Saccharomyces cerevisiae S288C: one gene and its partners. The protein of the gene in region 1 interacts with the protein of each later gene in a pairwise test. Each region holds a gene or a part of one and is shown on either strand. Other genes may lie near its edges.

Region 1 (5,223 bases):
AAAAAGTTTTCTCAAACCTTTTCCATGGTGAATGGATAACTAAGGGTTCCAATCAATGTTATGAAGAATTCCAAGTTAATCGACGAAAAGCGTTTGGAAAGGAATTATATAAACGTAAACATGAAAAATATTCATCGAATACTCCACATCGATCGTATTACAGTGTTTTAGTAAATGTTTGTATTTGAATCAAAGTTTCAGCATTTGTTCTACACTGATAAAATCATGGTTCTAGTATAGTGAAACATACGCCCAAGTTATCCTAGTACAAGACCGCCATATTGTGCTCATAATCGGGAACAATGAAAATAACACCCTAACAATTGCTGAAACTTGTCGTACGCGATCCCTAATTACATTATCAAGCATTCAGCATTGGTCAATACCTCAATACCTCGACAAGAAAAAAGAAATAGACACGTGTATGTCAAGGCATTAAGAAGGGTATCAGGCCTAGTGCTCGCCTCTTGCCTTCCCAATTTGTTGAACATCTTTGACATATAATTTGATTTTGAAATAGTTATTGGACTTCCATTTTAAATAAAGGCTCTATCATTAACTATACAGAATATACTAGTAACGTGAATACTAGTCGATAGACGATAAATTAATACTTTTTCCAATAAAATCTAAACGCATGCAAGTACATAAATAGGCGAAGGTATCTGACCGTAATAATCTTCACGCCATCTATATAAATAAATGAAAAATTCGGCTTTTAACTTATATATTAACAATAAGAAAGACAATGTTGCGCTGTGCTTACAGGAAGAATATTATAATTTTGACGAAAAGACCTTAATGAAATGCTTGAGGCTAATTAAAATATCAAAATTAGAACACGTAGCACTTTTCTTAAGTTCTGTTCCCAAAATTTCAAGGTCAAATGTGTTAACCTTTGGATGCACTTTCATAAAACTCCAAATATCCATCGCACTTAATAGGACGTCCCCTCCAAAAGCATCCACTGTATAATACTGTCTTGGATGGAAACCCTGCCTAATCACCATGCTCGCTGCCGCTGTTTCTATTGCATTAGTGTTTTCAGTAATGAAATTATTTGGCTCCTTTATTTCAGTCCCACTAAACTCCAAAAAGGTACTATCAAGTTCCCCATTAAAGTCACCAAACGTATGAATCTCACTCATTGCATCATTTAGAAAAGAATAGCCTGGTATGTCATTTGAGAGATTCGTACAGCCTATGGGATAGAAGGACCGATCAAAGGAATTCAACGGTGACGGCACTGTACAATTCTTTCCAACACACACTGAGAGCAGTTGCTTGAAAAATACGTAGCATTGTTGTATTTCAAGGGAATTATATGTGGAGGAAAGAACCACACTACCATCGAGAGTGTTACATGTGGGCGGTTTTTCTTCACAACAGGCCTTACTAATGTTCCGTTCATCAGAAGGCATGTTCCTCTCAGTCAAAAGACTCCTCAACATAAAATGGAGAAGTTCATTTTCCTTCTTTAATATGTGAATTTGATCATTTGTTACCGTTAGCTGAGCTTCTTTCTTCTCTAGTTCTTCTAATCTTTCCAACTTTCGTTTTCTAAATGCGTTTTGGGATGCTCTAAGTTGCGCAGCTCTCTTATTTTTAGGTGGAGTAAGTGAAGGCTTCCTGCCGCCTTTTCTTCCACGCGGTTTTGCCATTATCTTGGTCACTTATCTTCCGTTTTGACATGTTTTTTCAACGGCCGCTCCTTAAAGACCATCCGCATGCTAGAATTATATACTAATATGATTTTGTAAAGATAGGAATATTATAATTATAATTATATTTAATTTAATAAGAAAAGAAACGAAAAAAAAAAAAAAAATGGAATTAAAAAGTTTTGCCGTACATAAAATATTGAAAAGACTTTTACATTAATGCTGGAACAATAAAGCTTGAGGAGCTCAACCACTAACAATCAATTTAAGGTTACTCTCTCTACAATGGGTCTCCCAAGCGTAAAAACCTCCAACGAGGATGCAACTCTCAAACTTACTTGTAATATCTTCTTCTTGTAAGTAGGTTTCGAATTTAGCAGCTACTTTTGGTCCCCTATTCTTGGACCCAGTACAATGAAATATCACTTTGACGAATTGAGAACTTGAGAAAGTATCGGATAAACCTTTAATTAATTGATTCAGTTGCTTCTCTGTAATCTGTGCTGTTACTGGAACATGCCAAGCGTTTGTAATATGATCACGTGCAAAATCTTCTCTTCGAAGATCAACAACTTGAAAATCCTTCCTCTGATTTTCAATTAGGCCCTTGAGTTGCCTAGACGTTATGAAACTTACCATTACGCTTGCTGGATTGTCAAGTTTTCCTCAATATTAGTTTGTTATACATTAGTTTTTATACCGACTTTTCAAAAGTGTTGATTTAAAATCAAATTTTGAATGCTCTTAATTATCTTTTTGTTTGATTAATAATCAACTTTAGCGGCAACGCTCCTTACATAATTATAATGTAAACGGAAAAGAATATAAATGAATGCTCTCGTTGTAATTCAAGAGAACCCAACCAACAAATCATCAGGTTAGTAGAATAATGTCAGAAGATCAAAAAAGTGAAAATTCGGTACCTTCTAAGGTTAATATGGTGAATCGCACCGATATACTGACTACGATCAAGTCATTGTCATGGCTTGACTTGATGTTGCCATTTACTATAATTCTCTCCATAATCATTGCAGTAATAATTTCTGTCTATGTGCCTTCTTCCCGTCACACTTTTGACGCTGAAGGTCATCCCAATCTAATGGGAGTGTCCATTCCTTTGACTGTTGGTATGATTGTAATGATGATTCCCCCGATCTGCAAAGTTTCCTGGGAGTCTATTCACAAGTACTTCTACAGGAGCTATATAAGGAAGCAACTAGCCCTCTCGTTATTTTTGAATTGGGTCATCGGTCCTTTGTTGATGACAGCATTGGCGTGGATGGCGCTATTCGATTATAAGGAATACCGTCAAGGCATTATTATGATCGGAGTAGCTAGATGCATTGCCATGGTGCTAATTTGGAATCAGATTGCTGGAGGAGACAATGATCTCTGCGTCGTGCTTGTTATTACAAACTCGCTTTTACAGATGGTATTATATGCACCATTGCAGATATTTTACTGTTATGTTATTTCTCATGACCACCTGAATACTTCAAATAGGGTATTATTCGAAGAGGTTGCAAAGTCTGTCGGAGTTTTTCTCGGCATACCACTGGGAATTGGCATTATCATACGTTTGGGAAGTCTTACCATAGCTGGTAAAAGTAATTATGAAAAATACATTTTGAGATTTATTTCTCCATGGGCAATGATCGGATTTCATTACACTTTATTTGTTATTTTTATTAGTAGAGGTTATCAATTTATCCACGAAATTGGTTCTGCAATATTGTGCTTTGTCCCATTGGTGCTTTACTTCTTTATTGCATGGTTTTTGACCTTCGCATTAATGAGGTACTTATCAATATCTAGGAGTGATACACAAAGAGAATGTAGCTGTGACCAAGAACTACTTTTAAAGAGGGTCTGGGGAAGAAAGTCTTGTGAAGCTAGCTTTTCTATTACGATGACGCAATGTTTCACTATGGCTTCAAATAATTTTGAACTATCCCTGGCAATTGCTATTTCCTTATATGGTAACAATAGCAAGCAAGCAATAGCTGCAACATTTGGGCCGTTGCTAGAAGTTCCAATTTTATTGATTTTGGCAATAGTCGCGAGGATCCTTAAACCATATTATATATGGAACAATAGAAATTAATTGTTGACTCACCAAAAAATTACTTGGGCACCAATGAATAATACCACTTATAACTCTATATTAATCCAAGTTCACCCTAAAAACAGATAAAATTGACAATTTTTTTTGAAGGACAACTGATTGATCTTAGTGATGGTTAGGATGAAAAAATGGGTTTGTTCACGCCATCCCGCATCATTCAAAAACTCCGCACAGTTTTGGAGTTCAGTAAGAAGGGGACGTAATCTTACTATTGCATTTTTGAAAGTCTAATGAACTCAAGTGGCAAACTGTGTTACGTACATCACTTCTAAATACAATGTCTTTGAATTAGAAACTCGCTGAAAAATTATTATTGCGTATTGTATGTCATTTTTGAGATTTTCCTGCAAGATTAGTAATGCTTTAAACCCAAGTATTGTAAGCCCGATGGAATAGCACATGGTGATGGTACAACAATGGCTTCATAGATCATTCGCATAAAAATGGAATTCGTGCATCTAGTGTCTAATTAAAATTAACGTAACGAAATAGGACAAGATAAGCTTATGTCGTAGTACCCGCATAAGTACGTGTAGCTGCCATTTTATAATGCATGAAGTTGAAGTCATTAGGATGAAGAGGTGACATATAATGTTTCAAAATGGTGCCAGTATAAGTTTGGGATATCATGGAGCGGCATTCGTTTTAGTAAATGACTGTATTGTATAGTACTGTCTGTATGATTATCAGTTGAGTTGGTGAGATGAAGTAAAGATATTATAGCATCTGCGTTAATGTGTATTGCTATTATAGTATAGCATAGTGGTGTTATATAGTGGCACCGGGAATGAGTATAGGGAGTAAGAAGATCTTGTAGTTGCGTTTGAATAGCGACATGAGGACACGTCTTATGTCGCCATTATTAGGCTGAAATTGCAAGCATAAACTATTCGATATCAAAGATACCACAAGACCATGTATGCATAATTATAGAATACCAAGGTGGGGAGAGATTAAAAACGCACCATAGCAGCTGCGCGAGTATATTCTGCTATTAAATTGGAATTCACTGAAAGGTGATGAGAATGCAAATAGCTATGATACCTTATAGTGGTTAATTTGTATGAAAACGTTATAAAGCATGAAGTTGAGAGTATTGATATGATAATGGAGGTTCTGTGATCAATTTTAGAAAATTAAAATGTGGATGATCATGAATGTTATGGGTAAATGGCACAAGTAATAGACAATTTAATGAATAGGGTGTTATGTTTACGATATTTCAATTATGTTAATATTTAGTATGTTTATATCTTCTCATTAATGAATGGTTAATTTTTATGTTTAGGTGATTTTGGTGGTGATTTTGTGGTTATATTGACATAAGTGTGTATAAATTGAGTGGTTAGTATATGGTGCAGTTATACAATATTTGGAACCGCAAAATGAGATGTAGATATTAAAATGTGGATAATCATGGGCTTTATGGGTGAATGG
Region 2 (2,805 bases), on another chromosome or scaffold:
TCGACTCTAACGGTATTTTGAATGTTTCCGCCGTCGAAAAGGGTACTGGTAAGTCTAACAAGATCACTATTACCAACGACAAGGGTAGATTGTCCAAGGAAGATATCGAAAAGATGGTTGCTGAAGCCGAAAAATTCAAGGAAGAAGATGAAAAGGAATCTCAAAGAATTGCTTCCAAGAACCAATTGGAATCCATTGCTTACTCTTTGAAGAACACCATTTCTGAAGCTGGTGACAAATTGGAACAAGCTGACAAGGACACCGTCACCAAGAAGGCTGAAGAGACTATTTCTTGGTTAGACAGCAACACCACTGCCAGCAAGGAAGAATTCGATGACAAGTTGAAGGAGTTGCAAGACATTGCCAACCCAATCATGTCTAAGTTGTACCAAGCTGGTGGTGCTCCAGGTGGCGCTGCAGGTGGTGCTCCAGGCGGTTTCCCAGGTGGTGCTCCTCCAGCTCCAGAGGCTGAAGGTCCAACCGTTGAAGAAGTTGATTAAGCCAATTGGTGCGGCAATTGATAATAACGAAAATGTCTTTTAATGATCTGGGTATAATGAGGAATTTTCCGAACGTTTTTACTTTATATATATATATACATGTAACATATATTCTATACGCTATAGAGAAAGGAAATTTTTCAATTAAAAAAAAAATAGAGAAAGAGTTTCACTTCTTGATTATCGCTAACACTAATGGTTGAAGTACTGCTACTTTAATTTTATAGATAGGCAAAAAAAAATTATTCGGGGCGAGCTGGGAATTGAACCCAGGGCCTCTCGCATGCTTTGTCTTCCTGTTTAATCAGGAAGTCGCCCAAAGCGAGAATCATACCACTAGACCACACGCCCGTACTAATTGATGTCTTCCTTTTCGGATAGATGTATATATATACAAATTGGTCAGATTGCTTTTGGCTCCCTTTCGTACGTAACTCATTTAGACTACGGATCACTAGCACTATCTCACCAAGTTTTTAAAAGATCCACTGTGATCATTAAAGATTCTATTTCAAATAAAAATCAATTATCATCTATCGACTAGTTTTCATGGTACTAGTATATTATCATGTACAGTGTGAGGGCTCGACATGAAGATTGAGAAGACAGTCATCGTTTTCAATGGAAGCTGAAATACAAGCACTGAATAAAAAGAGATAACAATATTTTAATGTCGTGATATTGGTTCCCTTCTGCTGGTCTTCGAGGAAAATTTCTGGTATGTTTTGTGTATCTAATATTATATAGCCTTAAATCACTACCTATTTTTCAGATCCGCCAAGGAAGCCACTCTGTGAACTTTAAATAATATTACAAATTGCTACAGCATCTCGAATTCAAGTGTTTTCAGACTTATTTATTTAATTCAAGAAAATGTTCATAAACTTTCATAAAGCAATCCTCAATCCTCTTAGCGCTAATGTTCACTGCACCTTACATGATGGCGTTTGGTTATATTTCAATCCTTTTCAGCGACGTGTCCCGAAACACGAAAAAGTACATTCTGCCAAAACTTGAACTAGTTAAAATGAAAAACTAACAAAATCTCCAGTGATTTCGATTCATTAACCTTAGGGATCGACACCGCCAATTCTGCATCAGGTGACCCAAACTAGAATAAGATAAACAGTGGAGTACACTCATTGTAAAGGAAAACCATGATCAAATCTACAATTGCTCTACCCTCTTTCTTCATTGTTTTAATTTTGGCGTTGGTCAATTCAGTGGCTGCATCTTCCAGTTATGCACCAGTTGCTATCAGTTTACCAGCATTCAGCAAAGAATGCCTGTACTACGATATGGTTACTGAGGATGATTCCCTGGCTGTGGGTTACCAAGTTCTAACCGGTGGTAATTTTGAGATTGATTTTGATATTACTGCTCCTGATGGATCTGTGATTACTAGTGAGAAACAAAAGAAGTACTCAGACTTTTTATTAAAATCGTTTGGAGTGGGGAAGTATACCTTTTGTTTTTCCAATAACTATGGTACAGCGTTGAAAAAGGTAGAAATTACACTAGAAAAGGAAAAAACTTTGACTGACGAGCATGAAGCTGATGTCAATAACGATGACATTATTGCCAATAACGCCGTGGAGGAAATAGATAGAAACTTGAACAAAATCACGAAGACTTTGAACTATTTGAGAGCCAGAGAATGGAGAAACATGTCTACCGTCAATTCCACCGAATCAAGGTTGACTTGGTTATCTATATTGATTATCATTATCATTGCCGTTATAAGTATTGCCCAAGTTCTACTTATTCAATTCCTCTTCACTGGTCGTCAAAAAAATTACGTTTAAGAACTTTTCAATCTACGAAAAATATATGTCCGCAATATAGAACACAATTAGGTTTATATTCGACGTGATTTTTTTTTCTTCCTTAGCCCTATGTATATTTACTGTATAGGATAAATGAAATACCAAAAATAAAAAAGTATAAAACGAAAGAATATAACCCTCGTTTATATCTGGTCATTTGTCTTGCTCATTTGTTAGCATTTAAACTTGCTAATACGAAACTCAATGTAAAGAATACTTTAAAACCCATGTATTCTGTACCCAATAACCCATCAATAAGCAGTTTCTTCAAGTCTACATCTTTCAAAACAATTACAGATTTGATATTTTTCAAATTAATGCGAATCCATCCCTTGTACCGTAACCATTCACAAAGAAGCATGCTTGTAATACCGACATACATAAACAAAATTGATATCTTAGCCACCGTAACTCCTAAAACAACACCGAATAATGATCCCAAAAACATCTGCTTGTGACTACTTATTTTGTTCCTCCTT
Region 3 (5,718 bases), on another chromosome or scaffold:
CGATCCACCCAGAAATGAGACTGCCGGTGCAGTCAAGAAGTTTCACCAAGCTGGTATTAACGTTCATATGTTAACTGGGGACTTTGTGGGTACAGCAAAGGCTATCGCTCAGGAGGTTGGCATCTTACCCACCAATTTGTACCATTACTCCCAAGAGATTGTTGACAGTATGGTCATGACCGGATCTCAGTTTGACGGACTAAGTGAGGAGGAAGTGGACGATTTGCCCGTCTTACCTTTAGTTATTGCACGTTGCTCTCCGCAGACTAAGGTGAGAATGATCGAAGCTTTACACCGTAGGAAGAAGTTCTGCACAATGACAGGTGACGGTGTTAACGATTCTCCATCTCTAAAAATGGCCAATGTTGGTATTGCAATGGGTATTAATGGTTCAGATGTTTCCAAAGAAGCGTCTGATATTGTTCTAAGCGATGACAATTTTGCTTCTATTTTGAATGCTGTCGAAGAAGGTCGTAGGATGACGGATAACATTCAGAAGTTTGTCCTACAATTATTGGCAGAAAATGTTGCTCAGGCTTTGTATTTGATCATTGGTTTAGTATTCAGAGATGAGAACGGAAAATCAGTATTTCCCTTATCACCAGTGGAAGTATTGTGGATTATTGTCGTCACCTCTTGTTTTCCTGCTATGGGGCTAGGTCTAGAAAAGGCTGCTCCAGATTTGATGGATAGACCTCCTCATGATTCAGAGGTTGGTATTTTCACGTGGGAGGTTATTATAGATACATTTGCATATGGGATTATAATGACAGGGTCCTGTATGGCTTCATTTACTGGATCACTGTATGGAATAAATAGTGGTAGATTGGGGCACGATTGTGATGGCACCTATAACAGCAGTTGTCGTGATGTTTATAGATCACGTTCTGCGGCTTTCGCAACCATGACGTGGTGCGCTTTGATTCTGGCTTGGGAAGTGGTTGACATGAGAAGATCCTTTTTCAGAATGCATCCAGACACTGACAGCCCAGTCAAGGAATTTTTCAGAAGCATTTGGGGAAACCAGTTTTTGTTCTGGTCAATCATTTTTGGATTTGTGTCAGCCTTCCCCGTCGTCTATATTCCGGTTATTAATGATAAAGTGTTTTTGCATAAACCAATTGGTGCTGAATGGGGTCTCGCCATTGCATTCACAATTGCATTCTGGATAGGTGCTGAACTTTACAAGTGTGGAAAGAGGCGCTATTTCAAAACTCAGAGAGCGCACAACCCGGAGAATGATTTGGAGAGTAACAATAAGCGCGATCCATTCGAAGCGTATAGTACTTCTACTACAATCCATACAGAAGTTAATATTGGTATTAAACAATGATAGGCAGGGCCTATTAAGTGCTCCCTATCTTTTTCCTTATTCATTTCATATATTTAGATATTTACATTTATTTTGTTATTTGTTTTTTTATTTACTATAAACGAACTTTTCACAGGTTCTGAACATAAACAAGCCTAAATAGTATGTTTTCTAGTTCAAATATGTCTTAGAGGAATACTACTGCTATACTCTTATTGCTGCCGTTGTAAATCATGAAACAGATACAGTTACGTTACGCGTATGACAGGGTTCTTAACTAAAATTATGAATTTCAATACAGGATTAGTTAAATTCTTGTAGAATTAGAAAATTAATGCGTTTATTTCGTCAAGACTTTTCCTTCCAGGACGTTCAAATTCAACTCACATATATTCTTTTATCAAAATCCTTATATCACCGCGCGGTGTAATTGTGAGGCTGATGTTTTCTTCTTTAAATCTCCATATTATCTCTCGAGGCAAAGAAAGAGGAAAGAATTTTATTTTCCTTCATCCTTTACATCGAGAATACGTTAACCAAATCAACGTTATTCATATTCGTATTTTGCTTATCAGATAACGTATGTACTCACTGAGGAAAAATCTTTGTACACATAATTGAAAATTTTCGATGAGCGAGGGAACTGTCAAAGAAAACAATAATGAAGAATTCAATGCTTATCACACATTGACTACAGAAGAAGCCGCTGAATTTATAGGCACAAGTCTGACTGAAGGTCTTACTCAAGATGAGTCCCTCCGCAGACTGAAAGCAGTGGGAGAGAACACATTGGGTGATGATACCAAAATTGACTATAAAGCAATGGTCCTCCATCAGGTATGTAATGCAATGATTATGGTCTTGGTAATATCCATGGCGATCTCTTTCGCTGTGCGCGACTGGATTACTGGTGGCGTTATTTCTTTTGTTATCGCGGTCAATGTGCTCATTGGCCTAGTTCAAGAATATAAGGCTACCAAGACAATGAACTCTTTGAAAAACTTGAGCTCTCCCAATGCTCATGTTATTAGGAACGGGAAAAGTGAGACTATAAACTCAAAAGATGTGGTTCCAGGTGATATTTGTCTGGTGAAGGTCGGTGATACTATTCCTGCTGATTTGCGTTTAATTGAAACTAAGAATTTTGATACTGATGAATCACTACTGACCGGTGAATCTTTGCCTGTCTCCAAAGACGCCAACTTAGTGTTTGGAAAAGAAGAAGAAACCTCCGTGGGTGATCGTTTGAATTTAGCATTTTCTTCATCCGCCGTTGTCAAGGGAAGAGCCAAGGGTATTGTCATCAAGACAGCTTTGAATAGTGAAATTGGTAAAATTGCAAAATCTCTACAAGGTGATTCAGGTCTCATTTCCCGCGATCCTAGTAAGTCGTGGTTACAGAATACATGGATATCTACAAAGAAAGTTACTGGTGCATTTTTAGGTACAAATGTCGGTACGCCCCTGCACAGGAAACTGTCTAAGTTGGCGGTATTGCTTTTCTGGATTGCCGTACTTTTTGCTATCATCGTCATGGCCTCTCAAAAGTTTGACGTAGATAAAAGGGTAGCTATCTATGCCATTTGTGTGGCCCTATCCATGATTCCCTCTTCATTAGTCGTTGTCTTGACCATCACCATGTCTGTTGGGGCTGCTGTTATGGTTTCTAGAAACGTTATTGTAAGAAAATTAGATTCTCTGGAAGCTTTAGGTGCCGTTAACGATATCTGTTCTGACAAGACCGGTACTCTTACACAGGGTAAAATGTTAGCGAGGCAAATTTGGATCCCTCGCTTTGGTACCATAACTATCTCGAATTCTGATGACCCCTTTAATCCCAATGAGGGCAACGTGAGTTTGATTCCAAGGTTTTCACCTTACGAATATTCTCATAATGAGGATGGTGACGTTGGTATTCTCCAGAATTTCAAGGATCGCCTATACGAAAAAGATTTACCAGAAGATATTGACATGGATCTATTTCAAAAATGGCTCGAAACCGCCACTTTGGCTAACATTGCTACTGTTTTCAAAGATGACGCAACTGACTGTTGGAAAGCTCATGGTGACCCAACAGAAATTGCGATTCAAGTGTTTGCTACTAAGATGGACTTGCCTCACAATGCCCTTACCGGTGAGAAATCGACTAATCAAAGTAATGAGAATGACCAATCCTCTCTTTCACAACACAATGAGAAGCCTGGCAGTGCACAATTCGAACATATTGCTGAATTCCCATTCGACTCAACTGTGAAGCGAATGTCATCTGTCTACTACAACAATCACAACGAAACATATAATATTTATGGCAAGGGTGCTTTCGAAAGCATCATCAGTTGTTGCAGTTCTTGGTATGGTAAGGATGGTGTAAAAATCACACCATTGACCGATTGTGATGTCGAAACGATAAGGAAAAATGTTTACAGTCTATCAAATGAGGGTTTAAGAGTCTTGGGTTTTGCCTCCAAATCTTTCACTAAAGATCAAGTGAATGACGATCAATTGAAAAACATTACTTCAAACAGGGCCACCGCAGAAAGTGATTTAGTTTTCCTAGGGTTGATTGGTATTTACGATCCACCCAGAAATGAGACTGCCGGTGCAGTCAAGAAGTTTCACCAAGCTGGTATTAACGTTCATATGTTAACTGGGGACTTTGTGGGTACAGCAAAGGCTATCGCTCAGGAGGTTGGCATCTTACCCACCAATTTGTACCATTACTCCCAAGAGATTGTTGACAGTATGGTCATGACCGGATCTCAGTTTGACGGACTAAGTGAGGAGGAAGTGGACGATTTGCCCGTCTTACCTTTAGTTATTGCACGTTGCTCTCCGCAGACTAAGGTGAGAATGATCGAAGCTTTACACCGTAGGAAGAAGTTCTGCGCAATGACAGGTGACGGTGTTAACGATTCTCCATCTCTAAAAATGGCCAATGTTGGTATTGCAATGGGTATTAATGGTTCAGATGTTTCCAAAGAAGCGTCTGATATTGTTCTAAGCGATGACAATTTTGCTTCTATTTTGAATGCTGTCGAAGAAGGTCGTAGGATGACGGATAACATTCAGAAGTTTGTCCTACAATTATTGGCAGAAAATGTTGCTCAGGCTTTGTATTTGATCATTGGTTTAGTATTCAGAGATGAGAACGGAAAATCAGTATTTCCCTTATCACCAGTGGAAGTATTGTGGATTATTGTCGTCACCTCTTGTTTTCCTGCTATGGGGCTAGGTCTAGAAAAGGCTGCTCCAGATTTGATGGATAGACCTCCTCATGATTCAGAGGTTGGTATTTTCACGTGGGAGGTTATTATAGATACATTTGCATATGGGATTATAATGACAGGGTCCTGTATGGCTTCATTTACTGGATCACTGTATGGAATAAATAGTGGTAGATTGGGGCACGATTGTGATGGCACCTATAACAGCAGTTGTCGTGATGTTTATAGATCACGTTCTGCGGCTTTCGCAACCATGACGTGGTGCGCTTTGATTCTGGCTTGGGAAGTGGTTGACATGAGAAGATCCTTTTTCAGAATGCATCCAGACACTGACAGCCCAGTCAAGGAATTTTTCAGAAGTATTTGGGGAAACCAGTTTTTGTTCTGGTCAATCATTTTTGGATTTGTGTCAGCCTTCCCCGTCGTCTATATTCCGGTTATTAATGATAAAGTGTTTTTGCATAAACCAATTGGTGCTGAATGGGGTCTCGCCATTGCATTCACAATTGCATTCTGGATAGGTGCTGAACTTTACAAGTGTGGAAAGAGGCGCTATTTCAAAACTCAGAGAGCGCACAACCCGGAGAATGATTTGGAGAGTAACAATAAGCGCGATCCATTCGAAGCGTATAGTACTTCTACTACAATCCATACAGAAGTTAATATTGGTATTAAACAATGATAGGCAGGGCCTATTAAGTGCTCCCTATCTTTTTCCTTATTCATTTCATATATTTAGATATTTACATTTATTTTGTTATTTGTTTTTTTATTTACTATAAACGAACTTTTCACAGGTTCTGAACATAAACAAGCCTAAATAGTATGTTTTCTAGTTCAAATATGTCTTAGAGGAATACTACTGCTATACTCTTATTGCTGCCGTTGTAAATCATGAAACAGATACAGTTACGTTACGCGTATGACAGGGTTCTTAACTAAAATTATGAATTTCAATACAGGATTAGTTAAATTCTTGTAGAATTAGAAAATTAATGCGTTTATTTCGTCAAGACTTTTCCTTCCAGGACGTTCAAATTCAACTCACATATATTCTTTTATCAAAATCCTTATATCACCGCGCGGTGTAATTGTGAGGCTGATGTTTTCTTCTTTAAATCTCCATATTATCTCTCGAGGCAAAGAAAGAGGAAAGAATTTTATTTTCCTTCATCCTTTACA

What was found. The genes of interacting proteins can lie anywhere in the genome.
Region 2: the proteins of ARR3 (region 1) and ERP2 interact in a protein complementation assay, tested with the Saccharomyces cerevisiae proteins (one large-scale study listed by BioGRID).
Region 3: the proteins of ARR3 (region 1) and ENA2 interact in a protein complementation assay, tested with the Saccharomyces cerevisiae proteins (one large-scale study listed by BioGRID).

The regions. Positions count from the first base shown.
Region 1 is NC_001148.4:937,372-942,594, forward strand, and holds ARR3 (Arr3p), read left to right. Parts: upstream 1-2,550; coding exon 2,551-3,765; downstream 3,766-5,223. Other genes in the region: ARR1 (Arr1p), read right to left, coding at 777-1,661; ARR2 (Arr2p), read right to left, coding at 1,908-2,300.
Region 2 is NC_001133.9:137,198-140,002, reverse strand, and holds ERP2 (Erp2p), read left to right. Parts: upstream 1-1,657; coding exon 1,658-2,305; downstream 2,306-2,805. Other genes in the region: Hsp70 family ATPase SSA1, read left to right, coding at 1-500; FUN14 (Fun14p), read right to left, coding at 2,493-2,805. UniProt on the Saccharomyces cerevisiae protein: Involved in vesicular protein trafficking.
Region 3 is NC_001136.10:530,807-536,524, reverse strand, and holds ENA2 (Na(+)-exporting P-type ATPase ENA2), read left to right. Parts: upstream 1-1,942; coding exon 1,943-5,218; downstream 5,219-5,718. Other genes in the region: Na(+)/Li(+)-exporting P-type ATPase ENA1, read left to right, coding at 1-1,333. UniProt on the Saccharomyces cerevisiae protein: Catalyzes the hydrolysis of ATP coupled with the export of sodium and potassium from the cell. May export potassium less efficiently. May transport other cations such as lithium.